Mus musculus: one gene and its partner. The protein of the gene in region 1 interacts with the protein of each later gene in a biochemical or structural test. Links are inferred from orthologs where the notes say so. Each region holds a gene or a part of one and is shown on either strand. Other genes may lie near its edges.

Evidence for each region. The genes of interacting proteins can lie anywhere in the genome.
Region 2: the proteins of Pdzd2 (region 1) and Ctnnd2 form a complex in vitro, tested with the Homo sapiens proteins (2 studies listed by BioGRID and IntAct, with this or other methods). The link is inferred for Mus musculus from reciprocal best matches to the Homo sapiens genes PDZD2 and CTNND2.

Annotation. Positions count from the first base shown.
Region 1 is NC_000081.6:12,736,997-12,741,375, forward strand, and holds the start of Pdzd2 (PDZ domain-containing protein 2), read right to left. Parts: upstream 2,897-4,379; 5' UTR 2,621-2,896; intron 1-2,620.
Region 2 is NC_000081.6:30,171,214-30,175,341, forward strand, and holds the start of Ctnnd2 (catenin delta-2), read left to right. Parts: upstream 1-1,320; 5' UTR 1,321-1,913; coding exon 1,914-1,950; intron 1,951-1,956; exon of another isoform or gene 1,957-2,590; intron 2,591-4,128. UniProt on the Homo sapiens protein: Has a critical role in neuronal development, particularly in the formation and/or maintenance of dendritic spines and synapses. Involved in the regulation of Wnt signaling.

The sequences.
Region 1 (4,379 bases):
GACCCTCTCTGTATCTCTCTCTGTGTGTATGTTCTTTGTGTGTCTATGTGTATCTCTCTATGTGTGCCTCTCTCTCTCTCTCTCTCTCTCTCTCTCTCTCTCTCTCTCTCTCGTGTATGTGTGCTGAATAATGTGGCAAGAGAGAAATCTCAGCAGTTTGAAGCTTACCCCATACATCCCCAGAGCCTTGACAAGTTTTACAAGTAGTAGTGAGAAAAGGAAGGCTGGGCTCAGTGGCTCAGTTGGTAAGGGTTCTCGCTATGCAAGCCCGTCCACCTGAGTTTAGCCCCTGGAACCTGTGATGAAAGGAGAAAACTGACTCCACAGAATGCTCCTCTCACTGCTACACCTGAGGCACGTCACATACTCACTCACACTCACCAACATGTACACACACACACAGAGAGAGAGAGAGAGAGAGAGAGAGAGAGAGAGTCTGAAAGGACTTCTCCAGATTGCTGCTTTGTCAGATGTTAAAACCCCAAACTCCCTAACTTGGCTCAACTACTTGTGCTCAGAGCCTGCAGGTGGGCTTTGTCTCTGCTCTCTGAATCCCACCCCTGCCCCACAGTTGATGACTCTTTTCTGTCTTCCTCACAAGCTGCCATCCACTAGCTTAGACCTTCACTGCCTCCTCGACCATCGCGCTGCAAGAATCTCCTCATTAGACTCGACGTCTCTCCTCTCCCTGTCTCAGTTCTTTCCACAAGAATTTCCCGGAAGCAAATACCTGATTGTGATAGACCCTTGTTCAAAAATCCCAACTATTTCCCAACTGTCTGGAAAACCAGATTCATGTGGGTCAAAGCTCAGTCTCTGGTGCCATGAAAGAATCCAAAGACAGGATCAACCTTTCTGCATACACTTCCTCCTCTAGGTGGACCCCCGCAAAGCTCCACAATCCCCACAGTGAAAAGGGGGCTTTGTTCTCCTCCATACCCCTAAGATGTTTTATTTGGAACTTACTTAAATTTAGCAATTTAATCATACCTTCATTCCTTCACCCACTAAGCATAGAGAATTTACTCTAAAGCCAGAGGGCTCTAGCTTGTATCATCGCTATAAAGAGACATCTCTCCTGCTACACTGAAACGCTTGCCAGCAGGGACAGAGTCTCTTTACTCTGTGCACTTCCCTTGGAAGCCCTAGACCCAGCAAACCACAGGTGCTCCAAATGATTGAAATGAATAGAGGAATTATCATACGTTTCCTTAAATAGTAAACTGCCGTAAGTGCATCCAAAATCAATTTCAATGATAGATGTAAAGCGCCATTCAATATCCTTTTTCTTTTTCTAGGCGGTTATTAACTATGCCAAGGGGATGCATTTATATACCTCACATGGTTCTGATTTTTTTCCCAACACCTACCAGCCCTGCTACTCCTACCCGGTAACACACCACACAAGCTCACACCACGGTGTAGCTTTTATAGTAGCAGCAGTTCCTGGCTCATCCAAATAGAAGAAGAAATTCATGGAGCTAGAACAACCACCCACAGCCAGGGGTGTGCTCTGAGAGATTTTATTCCGCCCTCACAAGCAGTCCTCCCACACCACACCTGCCAGCGTGTACCTACCTGGCTCCCACCCAGAAGGCACGGGCCAGAAAAAGCTGACCCAGTAGAAACAGTCGAGACCCTATCGCCCAAGCCTGGAGCAGAGATGAATGTGGGAGGTTCCTCCCCCCCCCCCCCCCCAAGAGAAGTGCTGTGAAGATTCAGGGGTGTGTCTGCAAGAGAAACTCACTTTCTTTGGTCACTCCACAACCACTTAACCTTCAGGAGCTTCATTGTGACTTGTCAAGCAAAACCCATGGAAGAGGCAAGCCCCAGCTCAGGCCTCCACAATGCCCAAATCTCCAGTATATGCCTGGACTCTGGAATGCCCCAGTGTCCGACTTTCCAGTGTTTGCCACCAGCACATGCCAGACCTGGTGTGACTCCAGGGTCCCTTATCAAGAGCTATGCAGAGAGCAGGGCTGCTGAAGGGCCGCTGGTAAACTTCTGTCCAGGGTCCTAGATGCTCCCCCCACCACAATTCAGTCTTGTGCTTCATTGGGAAAGGCGGGCAGGTGGTTTTTTTTTTGGGGGGGGGGACTTCAGGAAGAAATACTTTCCTACTGGAACATCCCTTATCTCCCTGGCAGATGACATTAAACCCCCAAAGATGCCCTTGCTCTTCATGCGGACTCTTTCTCGCGCCACTTAGTGGGCAGGGGGGTTAGCGAGAGATGAAGCGCGGGAGGATGGTCCTTAAAACAGTAACTGGCTAAGGTAGAGAGACAAACCAACACACTGGGATAAGGATTCTTGGCCCGATTTAGGCGTCCCAGGCAAGGCGCCTCCGGTTATCCCGCTGTCTCCATCTCGCTCCGCCCAACCTCTCTCCTCCACTGTGCCCCTCTTACCTCCCACTAGAAGGAAGAGGAGTTTGCGCCACCTAACGCGGGGACCCACTTGGGTGCCCTCACTCGCCTCTTTGCTTGAACTGGGATCCCCACACCCGATTGTCACTGAACTTTCTCCAGCGCACACCGTCTTGGGGTTATCGAGCTCAGCTACCCCGCTAGCCCACCCGAAGCCCCACCCCCGTCGCGGCTGCGGCGCCAGGTCTCTTCACCTGTTCGCGGATCGGCGGAGGCTCGAGCCGCTCCTGGAGCGTCCAGACTCAGGCGCCGCCCGGCGGTGCCGGCGCAGCTACCGCCGCCCCTGCCACCACCACCACCGGTGCTGTTGCCGCGCCTGCCGGGAGAAGCCGCGCCGCAGGGGTTTGCTGGTTGCCGCCGGAGGCGCGATCCCGAGCGTCTTGCGATCGGTGGGGCGCTTGGAGGGCGCCCGCCGCAGCCGCCCCGCCGCGTCCCACTGCCCGCCGCTAGTACGCACTGGCGCTGGGAGTGAGCTTCTCGCTGCGCAGCGCAGGGATGCTCCGAGCCTCCAGAATGGGCGGGGATTCCTTCCCTCTGCTGGATCCGAGGGGCGGGAACTACCTTCCCGGAGTGACAGGCCCAGGGGGCGGGGATTCCCCTGCAGGAATGACAAGGTGGGCGGGGATTCCCCCGAGCAAGCCCCTGAGCGGGGAGGACCGCTCTCCCAGGGAAACAGCAGTCCTAGTGCGCCGGCTTCCTGGGGATCCTGGGAGGAACCGATCCAGGGAGACTGCGGCTCAGAAACGCCATGTAGGCAGGGCTTGGGGCGCCATCTAGGTGGAAGAACTAGAGCTAGGAGGTTTAATTTCCTTTTGCATAGCACTTAACATAGCACATAGCGGAGAAAAATGTCAATTGCCTTATCAGAGATTGGGTGGGGAGGCCCAGGGAGACCGGAGAAAAGCCAACCATCCATCCACTGGCCTCTGGTCCTTAGGATACTTAATATAGTCTTGGTATGAGCATTCCTCGGGAGAGAGAACCTCTTTGCGTCTTAAGAACCTCAGAGCTGTTAATCCTTCAATTAAGCCGCTAGAGGAAATTCCATGGGCCCCAGGATGGAGGATTTGGACGTTGTGAACCTCCTTCTGAGTGAACCTCAAGAGCTAAGGCCAACTGCCCTTCGTTTTATTCCAGGTCACTGGGAAAACGGGAGCCTCTAGCTTTTTGGATGCTTCATCCCACAGATTTTCAGGAAGTCTTCAAATATTTTTGGTTCCCTTTTTTTTTTTTTTTTTTTTTTTGTCATCCTTGTCATTCTGCCTACCACAGGGAGAGGACGATAAGAACATAATAGGGAGACCGCACGGCTCTGCAAATTAAGCTCTCTTGAGAGGAAAAAGCTGGTCTTTTTCAAGTGCTGGCAGATAAGGGTAAAAACATAGGAAAAATTACAAACCTCGGGATCATGAGTTGGTGAATAATGCTTTTGACATTTTCTGCAGAACAGTAATTGGAAATCTTTTGCTTTGAGGGAGGTGAGGATACGTTGGAGCATGGCTAGGCTCTAGATTTGCCCAGCAAAGCATTAAGAGCTGCTCTCTTGGAAGAGCAGCTACGTCACCTGCAGCCCTCATGGAGTGTCCCTCAGCACCAGAGACCAGAGTAGACCCAAGGCGTTTCTAGATAGTATTTTCAGCAAGTGTTGGGGTTCTTGGATTCAGCTTTTCCTTGGCGTTTATAATTCCCAATCCACAGAGATCAATGTCTATACAAATCCAGGCCTGGGTATTATAAACGGCAGTCTTCACCGCCTGAAAGCTTCTCCTCCTGTCTATAGAGAAAACCCTTACCATGCAGAACGGAGCAGTGGATTGTTCTGTGTAGCGCTTAGGAGGTGTTCAATGAAATAGGCACCATTGCCTAGAAAGGTGTTATTAGGATGCCACTAAAAATCCTCCCACAATTATGCAGTGCTATCTGTTTGTTCAGCGATCCCAGGCTCAGCTGCCA
Region 2 (4,128 bases), about 17 Mb from region 1:
AAAAAACCAAACCTGCAAATGACCACATATCTTCCCTCACAGGAATCAGGCTATGTTAATGTCACACCAGCTTCGAAGGAGAACCTACACTGGAGAACAACTTTTGGGAGTGAGACTGAGCCTACTAGAGGTAGATGGAATGACTGACGGTGCACATTTCCCTGTTGTGAACAGTCATTACTCAATCTCTTGTCTGTTCCTTTACATATTTAGTCTGCTTAACTTTTCTTTCCACTTGCCTCAGCCTTTCACTAACTCCAGAGAATAATAGAGGCTATCTCAGATTTAATGCAAGCATTTTGACCTTGTTGGATAATCTCTTGCAAACTGAATAGAAATGTCCCTGAGATTACTGAAGCTGGAACCCCTCTTATTACAAGTTCGGGGTTCCTGGTCCATTTATCTGTGTCTCAGAAAATGGCTCTGGGAAAGAGTAGGGTGGGGTGGGCTGGCTTCAAAGTAAGGATCTTTGGTGGAATAATTATGGGACGTATTTGTCCTGCATGTGACTGACAGACTTTGCAGCCACACAGGGACATAGATGAAGGTCCTGAGGGCCTGCCTGCCTTGGAACTTGGCATGGGTTTCGTTTTCCAACAAGACTTTTCATAGTGTGACTTTGCTTGCTAGATTTAGCACTCTGTGTTGCCTAATGACTGACTAACTGAGAGACATTCGGAAATCTCAGTTGGAAATGGAGCAAGCTTCACAGACTCCACCGCGGTCAGTGGAGGAGGAGCAAAGTTTTCATTTTAGCACGGGACAATGGAAGAGAAGAGGAAAACAGTCGTGGAGGTGTCCAAGAAGACAACTGGGTGAGACGTGACAGGAAGACGAAGAGAATTCATTAAAGCTCTAGATCCAGCAAGGGTCTTCCTTGTAGGAAGTTTACTCATATTCCAGATTTTAAAACCAGACTGAGTTTGCATAAAGCATAATCAGAGCAGGAGGTGGTGGAGATGGGGCCCCAACACTACGAAAGAACCTTTCACAGACGTCATGCGTTCTTTGCTTTGGAACCCTAGAATCTACAAGAACATCCACCCCCATCCACTAGCTTTCATGGCTGGCCCGGTGCTCTCCTTAACTCACAAGCTACTCTAAAACCCCTCAATCGCTGCCCCTTTGCAGACCAACATCTGCCCCGCAGAATCAACTCTCCGCGTAGGCTCTATCTCGGGTGCTGTCTGTTCCCGGGGATGCGCGGCCCTCTCCCAACCTGAGCCGCCTCCTCCCATCTCTGCTGCTGTTGCTGCCGCCGCGAAAACCAGAAGTGGAATTCGCGTGGCGAGGCGCCGCGCTCTCTCGGCGGCACTGGGCATGCTCCGCACCCGGGGCAGGTTTCGGTGGTGGGGCGGACGCTCGCTCGCTCACTAGCCAAGCGCCGGAGCCGGCCGCCGCGGCTGAGCCGGAGGCTGAGCTGCGGCGCGCGGCGGGAGGAGCCTCGCTCTCGGCGGCGGCGGCGGCGGCGGCGACACAGGTGGCGCGGGCGGCGCGCAGGGCGCAGCTCGAGAGCGCTCGGCGCCGGGCGCCAGGGCGGCCCAGGCTCGCGCCCGCGGCGGCAACCGGCCGAGCGGAGCGGCGGGCGCGGCGGCTCGGTAGCCCGGCCCGAGCCCGGGGAGCCCCGCGGAACCCTGAGCATCCCGCGGCGCCCGCCGAGTCGGGCAGGGGGCGCTACGCTCGCCGCGCTCGGAGGGGCGGCCGGGCCGGGCGCTGCGCACTCGCGTCGGGAGCCGCCTCTCGCCTGCCGCGCTCGCCCCTGCTCCCCGCCAGCATCACTTGTCCCGCGGCCGCGCTCCGACAACAAAAGCGGAGGATGCTGCAGCTGGGCAAGGTCAGGACCTTGCTCTGAAGCCGGGCGGCGGCGCGCACGCCTTTCCCCCGACTGAGGAGCTGTCTTTGGCGGCGGGTGCATGTTCGCCAGGAAGCAGTCGGGCGCCGCGCCGTTCGGTGAGTTGCCTTAGCTGAGCTGCTGGAGCCGGGCGCATCCTCCGGGCGTCGTCCTCTTGCTCACCGCCGGTGGGGGTTGGTCCTCCGCTTCCAGCGGGGCTAGGGGTGGCGGCGGGCGGCAGTGGGGTGCTGTCTGCCCCGGGGGAGGACCGCGATCCTACCGGCTCCCCTCTTGGAAGGCGGCTCTCCCCGCAACGGGGTCCGGGGTCAGTGTCTTTCTTGGAGCGGTTACCAAGTGGCTTCTCCGCGTGCTCCCCTCCCTGCCACCCCTCTACCTCGGAGGACGCGTATATAGGGCAACACCGACTGCTCCCCGCCACCCTCCAGAGCAACCCGGTTGCATTCATGACGTCCCTAATATACCGGAGAAGACGGGGTGGGGGCGGGGAAGACTTCCTTCCAGTCTTTTGCCCTTATGTTCAATGTCATTACGATGTTTGGCTAGAACAAAATGGAAAGACTTAGTCATATGCGTCCATGGCCGTTTCTTCAGTCTCCCGCTGCTCGCCAGACCCAGACCCCTTTGGTCTATATTTAGCGTTTCCGAGGAAGCATTTTCAGAGGGATTCACAGGCTTCCGGGGGCTTCTCTGTCCTGACAATAGATAGCGAGGCTCTGGAAAGCGCTGCCTGACAGCCAGGTTTGGCAAGGGTGCTTGTGCATGGGAGATAGGCGTAGCGATATTTGGGTGATTCGTAATTAATGGCTGAAAGCAAAGCTGCGTTTCGCTCCCCCCTTCCTCTTCTTCTTGTGTGTAATGTGTTTTCATCGATTGATACTCAGCATGTTGAGCCACTCTGTTCAGAGTAAAGTCTCTAGGAAGGAGGTGCAACCTCCTCGGTCGGAGGGTGGGGGTCGGAAAACAGACTTGGGGGCTTAGAGGGATGTGCATCTCTGTATTTTCCACAAGGAGCCACTTATTTCTCAAATACCCAAAGTTGCGTTTTCACTGTAAACACCGGGGTAATGAAGGGTGTGGAAGAAGAGGATAATAGAGGGGGAGGCTGTGCTTGCAAGGGGTTTGTATTTCCCTCATTTGAACTGATCTGCTGTGCTTCAACTCTGCAAGGCTGTATACGTATGCATGCCTAATGTTCTCTAAGAGATATGTTGGCTTAGAAAAGAGATATGTAATGAGCAAAAATCAGGCCCGATAAGCATGACGGACAGTTCACTTTTAGGAACTGTGTGACTGATATTTAAGACGCCGAGAATTTTCTGCATTGACTTCCATGAAAATGGGGAGGTGTTGCCCCTGCCCATGAGTTACCTCATTTTGCACACTTCCACTGGTGGTAGTTCAGTTGATGTGCCCGCTGGTGAGCATGTATCAACATAATTGGAAGGCTCCCCAGCCCCGCTACTAAAATCCAGTGGAAGATTGTTTGATATGACTCCTTTTGGATTGCCAACGTAGAACAGTGCATGATTTGGGGGATCTGATATATGGGAGGTATGGCCAATAGAGGCAAGAATCCTCGTGTATGGAATAGCTGCTTTCAACAGCCAGATGCCTCTTCCTTTAGTGATTCTCTGTGCCAAGCAGAATCCATTGTTAATGTTGAATAGTATCCGTACTGGTCTGTGGGTTACAAGGTCCAAAGCTTGAATGAAGATGGGCTATGCTTGGAATTAGTTGTTGGAATATAGAAGGACTGTAATTTTACTAATAACAAGCGAGCGTGGGAAAAGCACCGCCGGAGGCTACTCTGCTTGGCTTAAGGGAACGCTGCGATTCCTTTGCCAACACTGCTGTAGTTTCACCTTTATTCACATTCAGGCAACTTTACAGGAGCGCTTTGAGCACACTCTTGGAGCCCTTGCATTATATCAATGTAAAATTTCTTTCAGAAGCATGCCTTAGATGAAGGAGGTGTACTTTCCCCTTTCCTTTCCTTTCCTTTCCTTTCCTTTCCTTTCCTTTCCTTTCCTTTCCTTTCCTTTCCTTTCCTTTCCTTTCCTTTCCTTGAGTCTAGTGTTTCAGTTTTAACCATGATTCTTACAGACGAGTTGACAACACTGTGTGCCTGTGTGTGCCTCCAGAGAGCAGCTGCTGGGCGTGAGAAAAACTCCATGGCTTCTGCATGAGACTTTTATGCTATATTGTGGGTTGAAAATGATAGTACCTGACTGAATGGCAGTTTTAGCAAGTGCATGAGGTTGGTGCTCTAATGAAAT